Mus musculus: one gene and its partners. The protein of the gene in region 4 purifies or fractionates together with the protein of the main gene of each other region. This does not show direct contact. Links are inferred from orthologs where the notes say so. Each region holds a gene or a part of one and is shown on either strand. Other genes may lie near its edges.

Region 1 (2,860 bases), on a different chromosome or scaffold from region 4:
GAGGCCCCAGGGACACTCCTGGAATTGGTGGTGCAAAGAGGTACAATGGCAAGGTTTCAATTGCAGTATCTCTTGCTACTTCTTCCTGCCGCCTCTCTCCTTGAGGGCCAAGTGGATGACAGCACCACTGGCCATGTTGTAGTAAGCCAGGGAGTTGGAATCCTTGATGAAGATGCCCTGGAAGACAGACAAATGTCTTAATGGACACCACCTGTCTTTGACCACATGCAGCCTCACACAACTGAGCTTACTGCTATTCTAGACTTCACTACTATGGAAGCTTAAGGGAAGGTCAGCGAAGTATGGAACTTTGGCTTCTTCTAGAACATCTCTTTTTCCTTCCTTCTTTCTAACAGATGCAAAGTAAGGAACTTTGTCAACATTTGGTTTAGTTTTCAACTTCCCAAACATTAGCCATGACCAAACTAAAAGGCACAGCTGACTTCTCAGGTCAAAAGACCTTTAGTGATTATCTTTTTCAACACCCTATTTCACACAGGAAGAGAGGAAGCCCCAGAAAACCTGAATACCCCTTTGCACCTCCATAAACAACCAGGCTGCCTAAGATCCCATCACTGGTCTGCTCCCCATCCAGAGACCAAGGCTTTTAGACCCGAATTATACTATGCTGTCAGAACCCAGCACTATTAGGTCCACCTGCCCCCGCATTCCAGCTGGATCACTTCTAGGATGGCCTCATCCAGGTCTCTCTCCATCATACTTTCTACAGATTGTTTCAGGGATGGTAGAGGAATTGGAACCTAAGGGGCAGGACCCTTGCTTACTTCATACTGTAGTTTCTGTTTCCCCGCAGGCATGCCCGTGGCTTCATGAATCTTCACTTTGATGACAGAGACCTGTGGGATCACAGAAAGTTCATTCATTCTCTTGTTAAGACCATCTGGAAAAAGCTGACCCAACCCACTGACTCCAAAGCACCTGTACCAACTGGGGGTGGCAAAACATACCTGGTCTGTGAGTGGGAGAGTGAAGACCAGCCCCTGACCATTCAGCTTCCATTCCGTCTTATCCTGCATGTTGGGTACCTGCACTTTGATGGATACTGGACCCTGCAAAATGCAGTGCTCATTATGTCTGGAAAGCCCCAAGCCAATTAGGAACTATGCTGTGCTATCAGTTGCTCATCCAAACAACGACTCCTGCCCCTCTCACCCCTTTACTGCTGATACCAGGTGTGACACTACACAGGCTTCATTTCTTCTTTATTTTTCTAGACAGGCTTAAAGGTAGGGGTCAGGGCTAGCCTAGGCTGACCTCAAACTTCCTGCCTCTAGAGTTCTGAGATTGTAAGTGTATATTATCATACTGTTTCATTCCCATTCCTTAAATATTCCTTAAAATTCCACTGAATTCTGCAAACTCAAGGACCAGCAGGGTAAAGATATGGTCTGTGAAGTACTGGTTTCAAACTCAGCAGACAAGACACCTAAGCTTGCCTGTGTCAAAACAGACTGGTGGGAACACTAAAGAGAATAGTCTGAACCTTTGGTAGGTGTTCAAAGAATAGACACACATTAGCTAGTTTGTCAAATTTATGGGCCAAATCTCTTGGGACTGTCACTGCCTTCTCACCAAAGCCTAACAGCTTTGTCAGAGACCACCAGTACCAATATAGAGTCCTTATTCCAGAATGCCAGCAGAATCCTACTCCAATGAGCACCTTCCCAGAGCAGGGAGAGAGAGATCTGAATTTAATAACTGTGCTGAGCGAGACTTCCTAGAGCTGGTTTAGTGATCTGTCACCTCACTCCTGTGATAATGTCTTAGCAGCCGCATCTCCACAGGAGTCCACACTACCACAAGCTCCCAGCTACTGACCTCACATTACAAACATCCCCAGAAGCTTCGTATGGCTGACTGACATCCCAGGAACTAAAGGCATGGGATAGTACATAACTGGGGCTTGGGTAACCCATGCTGCTGCCGGATACTGCAGGGCACAAGCAGTTTCCTGGGTCACAGACCTTGTTCCTGCGCAGGAATTCTTCCTCAGGCATGAGACTGTCCTCGGTCTTTAGTTTCTTGGATGGAGGCTCATCCTCCATAGGAGGTGGGGGGTGTACAGGAGGCATTGGAGCTGGGGCTGGGACTGGAGCCACAGGTGGGGCAGGCACAAAGGCTGCAAGGACAAGGAACAGTTGCCTAGTGAGTACAGAAGAGGTGAAGAGGCCCAAGAGGCAGGACTAGGGAGATTTTGCCGGGTGATTTCGAGGCTTTGCTCTGTAAGAGGTGTGAAGTGCCATGCCTTGATGAGTCTGTCACTCAGCACATTCCCTGGCAGGGAGCCTTGGGAGGCTGCCCGAATTAGGCAGCAGGAAAGGGGAGGCAGTGCAAGGTCAGCCAAAAAATAGTTATTGTCAGGCTTCTGGACCTGTCAAGGACCCGACCACCAAATGTAGACACACTAGCTATGCCATCTCAGTCTCTTGTCTCTCACAAGAAATATGGCTCCCAGGTCCCAGTTGAGACTTCCTCTGGGATGGATACTCAGTGGGAACAGCCATCATTAAGGCTAACCACAGCTTTATGGACTAACCCATGAGATGAGAAAGCAACACTACACACCGACCTGTTGGCACAATCATGGGAGGTGGGCGGGGCGCCATGATGGGAGGTGCTGCAGGAGGCATAGGTACCACATTGATCCTGGGTGCGTGGATGATGGGTGGCATGGGGGCAATCACTGAGCCTGGGGGCAGCCGGACCACAGATGCCATGGGTGGCCGAGGCATGACAGGTACTGCAGATACAACAGTGGTGCGGACTGGAGGTGGCATCTGAGGGTAGGAGGAGACACATAAGCCACAGGAAGCCAAGGCTCAGCTTCAAGAACACACCA
Region 2 (3,516 bases), on a different chromosome or scaffold from region 4:
GGACCTCTGAAACTGTAAGCCTGCCCCAATCCTTTATAAGAATTGCCTTGGTCATGGTGTCTTTTCACAGAAACAGATCACTAAGACTATCATCCCTGATTCAGAAACCAAACTAAGACCCCTTCAAATCTGTGTCTATTTTACTTCTGTGGGGCATGCACCAGGGCAACACACATAGAGTTAGAGACTAACTTGTGGGAGATGCCCTTCTCAGCTCCTGCCTTGTGTATTCCGGGGAAGGGCAGTCTGGTTGATGGGCTGGGCAGCGAGCACCCTCACTGACTCAGACATCCTGCCCACCCTCTAACTTTTATTCACTTTCTTTCATGTCTTTTTGTTTGTTTGTTTTGTTTTTCGGGACAGGGTTTCTCTGTATAGCCCTGGCTGTCCTGGAACTCACTCTGTAGATCAGGTTGGCCTTGAACTCAGAAATCTGCCTGCCTCTGCCTCCCGAGTGCTGGGATTAAAGGCGTGCGCCACCACGCCTGGCTCTCGTGTCTTTTTGAGACAGGCTCACACGCAGCCCACCATGACCTCAAATTTCCGACTATCCTGGTACAAATACATGTGCATGTACCACTGCACTTCCCCTCACTTGTGTGTCACTGTGCACATTGGAGGTTAAAGGACAAACCACGGGAGTTATCACATGCCACCATGTGGGTCCCGGGAATTAAACCCAGGCTGTTAAGCTTGGCAGCAAAGACCTTTACCTGCTGAGCCATCTTGTCAGCCCAAACTACTTTTCTAGTAACTACTGTAATGAGCAGGCTAGCCATTCTGAACTCACTTGGAGCGGGAGCGCCGCCTGTTGTCATGCCTGCGCCGAGAAGGGCTTGGGGAGCCGGAGGAGCTGCTAGAACTGGAGCTCCGGGACGTGCTGGAGCTTCCTGAGCGGCTGGATGCAGAGGACGAGCTGGAGCCACTGCTTGAGCCTGTGCTGGTGCTGGAGCCCGAGCTGGAGGTGGAGCTGGACCTAGACCTGAGGACAAGGTGGGGGTGTCACAGAGTCAATGAGCAAGAGTCCTATTTCTGCACAGAAGACTGACTGCTCAGTAGAGGATATCGCTCTCCTGGTTCTTACTCAGAAATCTGCCCGCCTCTGCCTCCTAAGCACTAAGACTAAAGGCATACGCCACCACTGCCCGGTGCTTTCCTGCTTAAGCCCCATTTCACCAGTAATGACATCTGACAAGTCCCAACACCGTATGAGATGGGCTGTTGTTACCTACACAGAATCCTTATTTTTACCAATGAGGAAAAAGCAGCAGCCTAGCAAAAATCAGATCAACAGGGCTGAAGACCAATTCAGGCAGGTTTTCAACTTAAAAATAAAAAGAAAGAGGGGCTGCAGAGATGGCTCAGAGTTTAAGAGCACTAACAGTTCTTCCAAGGTCCTAAGTTCAATTCCCAGCAACTACATGGTGGCCCACAAACATCCACAATGGGATCTGATGACCTCTTCTGGTGTGTCTGAAGACAGTGACCGTGCACATTAAAATAAATACATAAATAACATAAAAATAAATACATCTTAAATAAAAAAAGGAGCAGACTGGGAGCTGAAAAATGTCTCTGCAGGTAAGAGGAACCAGGTTTGGTTTCTAGCACCCACATGGCAGCTCACAACTGCCTGTGACTCTAGTTTCTGGGGACCCAATGCACCTTTCTGGCCTGTGTGACAACCAGGCACACACATGGTATGCATGTATAAACACAGTTTAAAAAAAAAAAAAAAGGCTCCAGCCTGAAGCCAGTCATTCTCATTTCAGGATGAATACATACTTGCAAGAGAAACAATTCATCCATTATCCAAACATCACACTTTAGTATCATAGGAGAGTTTATATCCACAAACACACATTACACAGCAAGACCACATAACATATATAATGAAACAAAACCTGCATGCTATATTAGGGTCTTATCAACAACTCTAGGGTCTGTTTTCAATGTAGTTAAGACAACGTAGTCTTCCCTTGGGCAACCAGCTCAATTCAATTGGCAAGCTGCAGGAAGCAATGAAATCCTGTATGGAAAAGCTAGGCAGACAGCTCTTAGGGAGCCACACATACAGGACTACCCTCGCAGAAAAGTTGCTGTCATTCTCACTTCAACTGGGCTTGCTCACTAACGATCATCACACTGGGCTTGTCTCTCTTGGAAGGGACAGGGTCAAGGGACCCTCACTGGAGTATCCAGCCACCCCTCCAAACCAGTTGTAATTCTGCCCTATTTGCACAGGTCCTCAGGTCTCAGGCAAAGGCTTTAAGTAGGGGACTGTGGGGAGGGAACATTCACAGGGCAGTTACCACCCACATTCCTGCCAATTATCCTTCACCCACTGCACTGGAAGCCTGGTAAACTCACTGATTTCCTAGAGTGAACTTTGCTGAACTGGACCTAGGTTTGTTTGTTTGTGGGAACATGGAAGAGCAGATGGCCTTCACACCTCCCCAAAGGAAGAAATTTAACATACTTTTGGCCTTCACAACACACACGTGTCACCCCTTTCCCCCAAAGAAGTTCTTGGAGGGCTTCACAGTGAAGGAAGACATGGTTCCCTCTGCCCCACCTGGTACTGCTGCTTCCGCTTGAAGCACTGCGTCTCTTCCGAGTCTTATCTCTGCCACGATCCTTCTCACTTGACTCTTTAGTGGCCCCTTTATCTTTAGATCGATCCTTGGACTTCTCATCAGATCGGTCCTTGCGTTTGGTAGGAGAAGGAGCCCTGCATGATAAGATAGAATGTGAGGTTGCAAGCCCTTCTGACCAAACCCTGAGATAGCACAACCCAGTAGTGCGGTCCAAAAGGATTACTAACATCCCAGGTGATCACAGAGCAAAATCATCTGTGAATTAGGGCACGCACTGTAGAACAACAACAACAAAAATCTCCCCTTTCCTAGGGTCCTTAAACAGCAAGCACCCCCAAAATAGCACTAGAAAAAAATCTTACAGAGGATTACCTAGTGCTGGACTTTTTATTATTCTCTTTGACTCCTAGCAAGCTCTTCTTTTTCACTCCTGATAAATCCATTCTCCCCTTCTTCAAGGCAGCAATGTCGGCCTCACTTATCTGAACTCTCACTTCTAACTTGAGTCTGAGAAACGATCCCTAATCGATTGCAATTTACGCCAAAGAGCAGCCTAGTAACAAGATAAAAGGATTGAAATAGAGCAAACCAATTGACAAAGCATCAACTCTATTTTGCATCAAAGACCGTTGAGCACACAGGACAGAAGCACAGCAAACAGCAAGTGTCCACACAGCCTTGACACCCAGGGCCCTCATTAGCGCGCCATGGAGGCCTTTCCTACTCTTAGAGGCCACCTTAGGTTTTTTATTTGAGAAAGAAAGGCAAAATGTATTACATGTCTAAGGTACAGGCATATTAAGATTCTTCTTTGTTTTCCTTAATGAAGTGGGAGAGGTAATTGTAGCTACATTTGGTTTTTTAGGGCCTGTCCCACACTAGAGTTCACCAAGTTTGATGATGAACCAGCCACCTGTAG
Region 3 (3,516 bases), on a different chromosome or scaffold from region 4:
AGTACGTCACCTATGTTTGTCTGTGTGCACACATGTATCTATCTGTCTATCTGTCTCCTTTCAGATAAGGATACAGCTCTCAGCTACTGTTCCAGTGCCATGCTTGCCACCATACTCCCTGCCATGATAATGGACTCACCCAATTAAATGGTTTCTCTTATAAAAGTTGCCATGGTCATGGTGTCTCTTTGCAGCAACAGAACACTGACCAAAACATATATACTCCTCTATTTATGAGTTTCCTAACTCCTAAAGAGATAGACTAACTGGGAGGCACTGCTCCAGCACCAGAGGCAGCAGCATACCAAGCCACAGTATTCTTGGCTCAAATCTTATGAAGCCATTAATCTCATCTACTAAGCTACCTTTATCCTCTAAGCCAAGGGTTCTCATCTATTTGAACTCCCACAACTTTCAATAGTCAACATTAAGTTTTTAGGCTAACCCCGTAAGGTCACGGGAGTAGGCACCTGGCAGTCAGACTACATGGAGCTGGGCCATCTGTACTGTACCTATAAACACTCGAGGGTGCTTGTTGGTGCCATTTACTTTCTCCCTGGTTTGAGAACCACTGTTATGGGGGTGATCATGGAGACCATCAATGCCTGTTTCACCAAAACACTAGGGGTTGGGCAATTAGTTCCGAGACTCAAAACCACTGGAACTGGACTTAGAAAAAGACAAGGGTGACTTCGAGAGTGCCTTACCTGAGAAGGATGAAACACCACACTGGTGACCTTCTTGGTATGGCCTTTGAGAGTGGCCAATATTTGCTCAGTACTCTTATCAAAGACAACAACATTTTTATCTGCCCCACCTGGAGAAGATCCAAAGAAGACAAAAATGAGCCAGGCTTTTAAGTACCCTGGACTACAGAAGGTCTTTCTGTCCTTAAATCCATGCAGAGAATCAAGGGCCTGTCCCTTCCCTGGGTCCTGCCATCCCTCATTTTGACTGTCAGGTCAGGCCTAGACTCACCAGTGAGAATCTTGTTGGTGTCTGAGGGACACAGGTCCAGAGCGAGAATCCCAGGAATGCTAGCACTGTGTAGACCCTTTGCAGAAAGAGCCACATGAAACCCAATCACAGCCCAATCCAAGCCTCACAGCTCCTCCACTCCCCTTGCCCACACCCCCCATATTCCTCTCCAGCCAGGAAACGAGAGTGAATCCTATCCCTTATCCATCCAGCTTGGCTGGCTGCCTGGATGCACCAATTCCCCCACTGCATGGCAGGACAGAAGAGCAGCCAAGTCGAGACAACGTGCCAGAGACCTGAGAAGCATTTCCCATGACTCCTCCGTCCATCTTGTCCTAGAAACAGTAGGGCCCCTCCAGCCACTTACCACATGGGATGCCACCTGCCGGTACTTGCTGAGCTCTTCAGGTTTCACCAGCTCCTCGGGGACAGTCTTTCCTCTCTAAGAAAACAAAACAAAACAAAAAACCCCAAAGAACAGCAATGAAAGCGGGCTTCAACTAGACCTTTCTCCAAAAACGCAAGTGTTCACAGCAGGCAACAACTCACCTTCTTACGCTCCGTGGTTAGCACAGTAGCCTTGTCTTGAAGCTGTGGAGAACATAAATAATTTTGTGAGAAAAATAATTTTGTAAGAACAAAGCATACTGGGTGCTAGTCACATCTGGTATTATAAGCATCATCAAAAAATGCTATCTGCCAAGCTATGGGATAACAGCTGACACATTTCCATCCTGATCTTATAAGGTCATATATCTATGACCTTATGGTACAGCTGAGAAAAATGAAAGTTAAAAGAACTCCCTTGCCAGAATGGGTAGGGACGGGAACTAAGCTGTGGTGCTGGTCGAGGCTATAAGCCTGAGCGCTCAGATGAGCTGCTCATATTCCGCTGGACTCACAAATGAAGACTACATTCAACAGAACCCTGAGTTACAGTCTGGAAGCCTGCTCTGCCTCTTCTCAGCTGTCTTGACTTGCCACTTCTGACTCCTCATCTGAAGATAACTCTTATTCTAAGGCAAAACCTTCAAAATCTGTAACAAAATGGCTTAATATCAACAAAGATCGTAATCACCGCAAGAGCTAAAAACTGCCCTAATCAGTAATGAAATCTTTCCCACAACAAGCCTGTGAAGTACACACACCTCATTCTACTCAGAAGCCAGGGAAATGAGACATAGAAAGCCAGACTAAAGTAAGCTTCATCAGAAAGCTCTCGATTGGCAGTGCAGGCTCCCACATTGCCCATCGTGAGAGATTCTTAAGGGCCCCCAATGCCTGTGGTACTAATGGGGGGACTGCAGTCCCATCAGAGGTGCACATGACTCACCTTCTGGATAATCTCAGGGGTCATTCCCACCAGCTCACCCAAATCCATGGGCTCTCCTGCACCCTGCAGAAAAGAAAGGGAGAGTGGGAGGGGCTCACAACACCAAAAACTTCTGTGAAGGGACAGCTACTGGGGCCCGGAAGGGAACACTTACCACAACACTGGGCTGTGAGCTTGGCACAGCCTGAGGTACAATAAGCCCAGCCTGTGGTTTCAGAGTAGCCAGAGCTGAGAGAAAAGATGATGTTAGAAAAGGGACATTACAAAGCAGGGCCAGAAGATGGGGAGCAGCAGGGAATACAAGAGACCTTCTCGAGCAGCAGTGACCTCTTTGGTGAGCCGGGCAATGACTCGGCAGGCAGCATCGTGTTGGTACAGAGCATGGGACAGCTCCTGGCGGGTTGTCTGCAGTTGCTGGCGAAGAGTGAAGCTGTGCAGCATGACTGCATCCTGGGAGAGGGTAGGCCACTGTGAGGACTGGGGGAGAGCCGGAGAATTCGGCCAACCCTAGAGAAGAGGACACCACCTCCTATTCTACACTGAAACCAACCTGAACTATTCAGAGACCCAAGCCAACTCTGAGTGACCCTGAATGCCCTGTACGGCATTCAGGCTCCTACCCACACTATACTCTGGACAAACACAGAGTGGGATAGCTCCTTCCCACCCCCACCTTTGCTATTCACCAGCACATCACGGGTATTAATGTCATCACCTCTCTGAAAGGCAATAACTACACTGCTGTGGTTATTTACTGGCTACCCTCAGCAAATGCAGAGCCCAGTAATGAAAAAGTCCCTGATGTCACAAAGCAAATATGTCCATTGTATTCTACTTCTTACAGAATCCAGATAGACAGGACTAATGAGTGTCCTAAGTCATAAAGGCTGACTCTGGAGAAAACTTTGGAATCTAGGTCTGCAAGAGTTCCAGCAACCAGGCTCCTCTTGTATTGGCATCTTGTTCCTCACAAATGAAATAAGTAAGGCTGGCACAAAATGAGGGGCTGCTCAGTGGCCCAGGGACTACATTACCCCTGTGTTCATCACCCCAAGAGTCAGGCCTGGTGGTTGGCACTTATAATCCTAGCACTAGAAGGCTGAGGCAAAAGGACCACAAGTTGCAGAGCAGTGGAGGCCACAAAGCAACGTCCTATCTCAAGGCAATAAGAGGGCCTGCAGAGAGTTGAGAGAGTCCAGGAATTA
Region 4 (4,223 bases):
CAGCTATAATACCTACTACAAACTTGCTGTTCAAATAACAAACACTTCTTTTCACTCTTAAGCTAACCTTCCAGGCCTTTAAGCCTGACATGCCATCGATTCCTTCCTTCCTTCACTTGTTTATTCAAGGTAGGATCCCATTCTATAGCCTGAAACTGTCAACAATTCTCCTGTCTCAGTCTGACTCACAAGCACGGCCTCCTAGTGTCCGCCACACCTCAGCCGTTGTACTCTTCACTGAATGCCCTTCTCCTGACATCTCCATGACTGCCCCTCTAGCCACTTAAGTCTCAGCATAAATCTGCAGCCTCCCTGCAGGAAGCTCTCTCCAACTTCACTGTCCAGATGTCCCCTTATGGCCCTCTTCTTACCCTGTCTCCTGCTGACATCACAAGTCCACTTACCGACCACCACTAACAGCTACAAGCCTGTCAGTTGGACATGCTGGCCCCACCCGAGAATCCCAACCCTCAGGAGCCTGAGGCAGGAGCACCAGGTACCTGAAGTCAATCACAGTGGGACCTGGGAAGTCAGGCTTACAGGCAAGCATGCGTACCAGCTGAGTCATTTCCCAGTCCTCCCACGACACTTTTCTCCAGTTGGTCATAAGAACCAGTATTTACCCTTCCTTAACTTCTGAATTACTTCCACAAAGCAATGCACCAAGGGGCCAGTGCAAGGGCAGTAGAGCATCCATCCACTTCACAAGCCTTCACGACCTGAATATGATCTCAGGAACTCAACAGCTGAAAGACAAAGGCTTCTCTAGAGGGGTCCTGACCACCCTCATGCATCCATTTATAGATGCACACAAAATAAATACATAAAAATAGTCATTTGTGTTTACTTTTTTAAAAATGTGTGCCGGGATTCAGTCTTTGCAGAAACTTTCTAACTATGGGCCTTACTTCCAGACAAGAACTGAATTATTTGGTAGGGATTTCTATTTAAAAAGAATCTTAAAAAAAAAAAATTTTATGTGTGGATTTTTTTTTTTTTTTTTTTGCCTGCAGAAGCCAGAGGAGGATGTCGTATCCCCTGGAACTGGAGACACACACAGTTACGAACCTCCCTGGAGGCAAGGAATCAAAACCAGATCCTCTGTTAGATCAGGCAGCATTCTTTAACCACAGAGCTCTCTCCAGGCCATGCTGATTTTCTTAGTTGCTGAGATTTGAACCCAGATCCTTACTCCTGCTAGGCAAGACTAACACTAGCTACATTCCTCAAACCTTTTGGACACTGGGTCTTGCTATGTCGCCTCAGCTGGTCTGGAACTCAAGCTCCTCCTGCCTCAGTCTCCTGAGTACTGGGATTACAGCCCTGTACCTCCACACCCTAAAAGAAACCGTTTGTCTTTGGTTTCTTTTTTATCTGCTTTGGCCATGTTGTCCCAAATGGTTTCAAACTTTCACTCTTCCTGAAGAACAGAATTACAGCCTCTGCCAACCAGCCCAGTCTAAGAATCTGCTTAAGCAGAACCCCACATTTCTGTCTCATTTTTCTTGCTATTTGATCCCAGGCAAGTTATGCCACCCAAATTCCAACTACTTAATCTGAGAGGCTTGTGAGAATTAAAGACAGTCAAGACTTAGAACGCGGCACAATCACCCACATCACAAAGCCATCCATTGCCCATCCCTCCTGTGTGTCATCTGCATTGTAGTCAATCACTGAGGCCACCACCCAGAGGTCAGTGGACAGAGACAGTCTCATGAAAGCAGACTGATGGCAAGAACGATCCTGGAAGGCTTCAAAGGAAGAAGGGACCTATGAGCTAAAACCTGGAAGATCACTAACAATGCGCAGATTAAAGGGCAGAGTGTAAAACCTAGGGTGAAACCAAGGAACCAGTAGGTACAAAGGCCAAAGTTAACTCCTAACAGACAGAATGGGGAAGGCTGAAAAAGAAATGTGGATGCTAGAGGTGAAAAGGGGTCAACTCTTGTGATATCACCTTGAGTCAGGCTACCCCAAGAACTCACCATCCTTCTTGATCTTCTCATTGAGATTGTTGATATAAATAGTGTGGTTGGCACGGGTCTCGGGAACTGGCATGGTGGCTATGGTGGCCATGGTGTGAGATGTTCAGGTACGGCTTAAAGAGGAGGAAAAAGCGACTTTAGCCCTAAGTTTCCCAAATTCTTTGTTCCAAAGGGCTGATGCTCAGGGATCGCCCTTCCAAGAGGAAGTCGAGTAAGACCGGAATTGGAAGAGGATGTCACAGCTTAGCAACAAAGCCAGCACAGGCCCCCGCTTCTCCAACCCGCGTGCTAAGGGAGAGCTAGAGAGGTTAACTACGAATCCCAGAATGCTCTACGAGTCCCGGCAGGCGGAGCACACCGAGCGGCGCTTCCCATTAGTCCACGTGCGCGAAAGGCGTCCCGGGAGGAAAAAAGACCCCGGATGTCGGAGCCAGTTAAGAAAGTAGGGGCCGACTTGGAACATCCTAGTCTCTCAAAGAGAGGCCTCCCGAAGTGCTCCACCCGCCTCCCCGGCGCCGAGCAGCGTCTACAACCCGCGGGAACCCACCACCTGAGCCGTCGCTCCCGCCGACAACGCCCGCCGAGCTACGCTGCACAGACACACAACTATCTTCCCCGGCAACGGCTTCTCCCTTCCGCGAGCTAATCACGGCGGGCAAACTCGGTAAGTTCAGAGTCTCTCCCCCGGCCTCAGCGTCTGCCAAAGGAACACTTGGGGTCCCGCCCCCTGGACGCGAGGGAACGGACCAATCAAAGAAGGGCACGAGCTTCTGGCCAATTGGGACATGGTTAGAGCTCTGGTGCATTCTAAGACTGCCTTTCGGAAGCCACACCTCTTCCCCTTCCGCCAGTATCACGTGACCTTCAAGAGCGTTGTGCTGGTTGCGAGTTCTATCACGTGGGATGGGAAAGGACAGGTGGAGGCTGGCCGGGTGACGTCATTTCCTCCTGGGGAGGCGCTTGTGCAGATTCCTAAGTTCCTAAATTGATAGGTTTATACCAACTTAGTTGGCCTTTGATCGCTGAGTTGCTGCGACTCTCATACTTCCCCGCTAAGCCCATGACCCGCCCACCATTAGGCTGTTTTCTCACCCACGTGCCTTTTTTGTAACCTCTTAACCCTAGCTCGTAAAGTCAAGGTTTCAAACTCAGGCCCGCAATGCAAAAAGTAGGCAAGTCACATCCTTTAGACACCTCACAACAGATCTGAACCTCCGAATAACAGAAGTGACCAAAACTAGCTTAGCTACAGCAGATGAGATGACACCTACAAAATGTCCCTTCTAATGTAGCCCCAGCCCCATAGCACAGACCACCCTTCGGGATCCTTCAGCATTTGATTTAGCCCAGTTTCTCTTTCCACTGTTTCAAATACTAGCCCAGGTTCTCCCAGAACAACTGGCCAGACACCATATTCTGCTATCAACTCCAGTTTTAATTTTTTTTTTTTTTTTTTTTACAGATCTCAATGTGCAGGCCTGAATATCTCTCATCCAGTTCCTTTAAAAACTGAAAATCTCCATCCTTGGGAGATTTGGGGAGAGCCTCTTATTCTTCCTGTAGACCCCAAATGACTTCTCCATGCTCTTTCCCCCTAAAACCCACAATCTCTCCAATAATTCATGAGACCCCAGACACCAACATTCCACCTCCTTTACCTCTAAATCCCCCGGACCTAGCTTTACCATCCCCTCCTTGTAGTCTCCATACATCTATTTCATCCCCACTGCCGCCCCCTCCCCCCCCTCCTGCTCCTCCCCCTCCCCCTCCCCCTCCCCCTCTACCCTCTGCTGTGGAGCCTGTTCTCCCTCATGTCTATGGCCTGAAGAACAGCCAGCTCCTGAAGGAGGCCTTAGAGAAGGCTGGCCCAGCCCCCAAAGGCAAAGAGGATGTGAAGAGGCTCCTGAAGCTGCACAAGGACCGGTAGGGTCTCCAGCCCCCAAAACCAGCCCAGATCTCAGACAATCACCTGATTACAAGTCACCACAGCCACCCTGCTCTTTGCGGTCCCACTTCCTTGATCTCAAACAGCCAGATGCCTTAAGTACCCTACTTAGTTAGCTTCCAGCAATAGAGAGAACAGCTTCTGCTCGGGCCTGGCTTTGACACAGAAGCCAGTGGTTCTGTGCCTCCAGACAGTGACTCCAGAGTAGCCAGAGTTGTGATAATGGAGCCCAAGGACAGATCTCAGTGTTGGCTTCTAGAATCGAAGCAGCTACAAATGCTAGTGAGCACGTT

What was found. Proteins that work in one complex are often made in the same cells at the same time.
Region 1: the proteins of Snrpa (region 4) and Sf3a1 fractionate together in Homo sapiens (co-fractionation; 3 studies listed by BioGRID and IntAct, with this or other methods). This does not show direct contact. The link is inferred for Mus musculus from reciprocal best matches to the Homo sapiens genes SNRPA and SF3A1.
Region 2: the proteins of Snrpa (region 4) and Rnps1 purify together in Homo sapiens (co-immunoprecipitation; 4 studies listed by BioGRID and IntAct, with this or other methods). This does not show direct contact. The link is inferred for Mus musculus from reciprocal best matches to the Homo sapiens genes SNRPA and RNPS1.
Region 3: the proteins of Snrpa (region 4) and Prpf19 fractionate together in Homo sapiens (co-fractionation; 3 studies listed by BioGRID and IntAct, with this or other methods). This does not show direct contact. The link is inferred for Mus musculus from reciprocal best matches to the Homo sapiens genes SNRPA and PRPF19.

The regions. Positions count from the first base shown.
Region 1 is NC_000077.6:4,177,351-4,180,210, reverse strand, and holds part of Sf3a1 (splicing factor 3A subunit 1), read right to left. Parts: intron 2,799-2,860; coding exon 2,591-2,798; intron 2,141-2,590; coding exon 1,986-2,140; intron 1,071-1,985; coding exon 969-1,070; intron 858-968; coding exon 786-857; intron 178-785; coding exon 76-177; 3' UTR 1-75. UniProt on the Homo sapiens protein: Component of the 17S U2 SnRNP complex of the spliceosome, a large ribonucleoprotein complex that removes introns from transcribed pre-mRNAs.
Region 2 is NC_000083.6:24,417,672-24,421,187, reverse strand, and holds part of Rnps1 (RNA-binding protein with serine-rich domain 1), read right to left. Parts: intron 3,151-3,516; 5' UTR 3,041-3,150; coding exon 2,970-3,040; intron 2,732-2,969; coding exon 2,576-2,731; intron 983-2,575; coding exon 791-982; intron 1-790. UniProt on the Homo sapiens protein: Part of pre- and post-splicing multiprotein mRNP complexes. Auxiliary component of the splicing-dependent multiprotein exon junction complex (EJC) deposited at splice junction on mRNAs.
Region 3 is NC_000085.6:10,898,228-10,901,743, reverse strand, and holds part of Prpf19 (pre-mRNA-processing factor 19), read right to left. Parts: intron 3,100-3,516; exon of another isoform or gene 2,985-3,099; intron 2,819-2,984; coding exon of another isoform or gene 2,762-2,818; coding exon 2,620-2,761; intron 2,540-2,619; coding exon 2,466-2,539; intron 2,375-2,465; coding exon 2,312-2,374; intron 1,570-2,311; coding exon 1,528-1,569; intron 1,421-1,527; coding exon 1,346-1,420; intron 1,055-1,345; coding exon 979-1,054; intron 818-978; coding exon 708-817; intron 1-707. UniProt on the Homo sapiens protein: Ubiquitin-protein ligase which is a core component of several complexes mainly involved pre-mRNA splicing and DNA repair. Required for pre-mRNA splicing as component of the spliceosome.
Region 4 is NC_000073.6:27,193,459-27,197,681, forward strand, and holds the start of Snrpa (U1 small nuclear ribonucleoprotein A), read right to left. Parts: upstream 2,814-4,223; 5' UTR 2,533-2,813; exon of another isoform or gene 2,323-2,532; intron 2,303-2,322; exon of another isoform or gene 2,099-2,302; 5' UTR 2,077-2,098; coding exon 1,986-2,076; intron 1-1,985. Other genes in the region: BC024978 (UPF0692 protein C19orf54 homolog), read left to right, coding at 3,556-3,908. UniProt on the Homo sapiens protein: Component of the spliceosomal U1 snRNP, which is essential for recognition of the pre-mRNA 5' splice-site and the subsequent assembly of the spliceosome. U1 snRNP is the first snRNP to interact with pre-mRNA.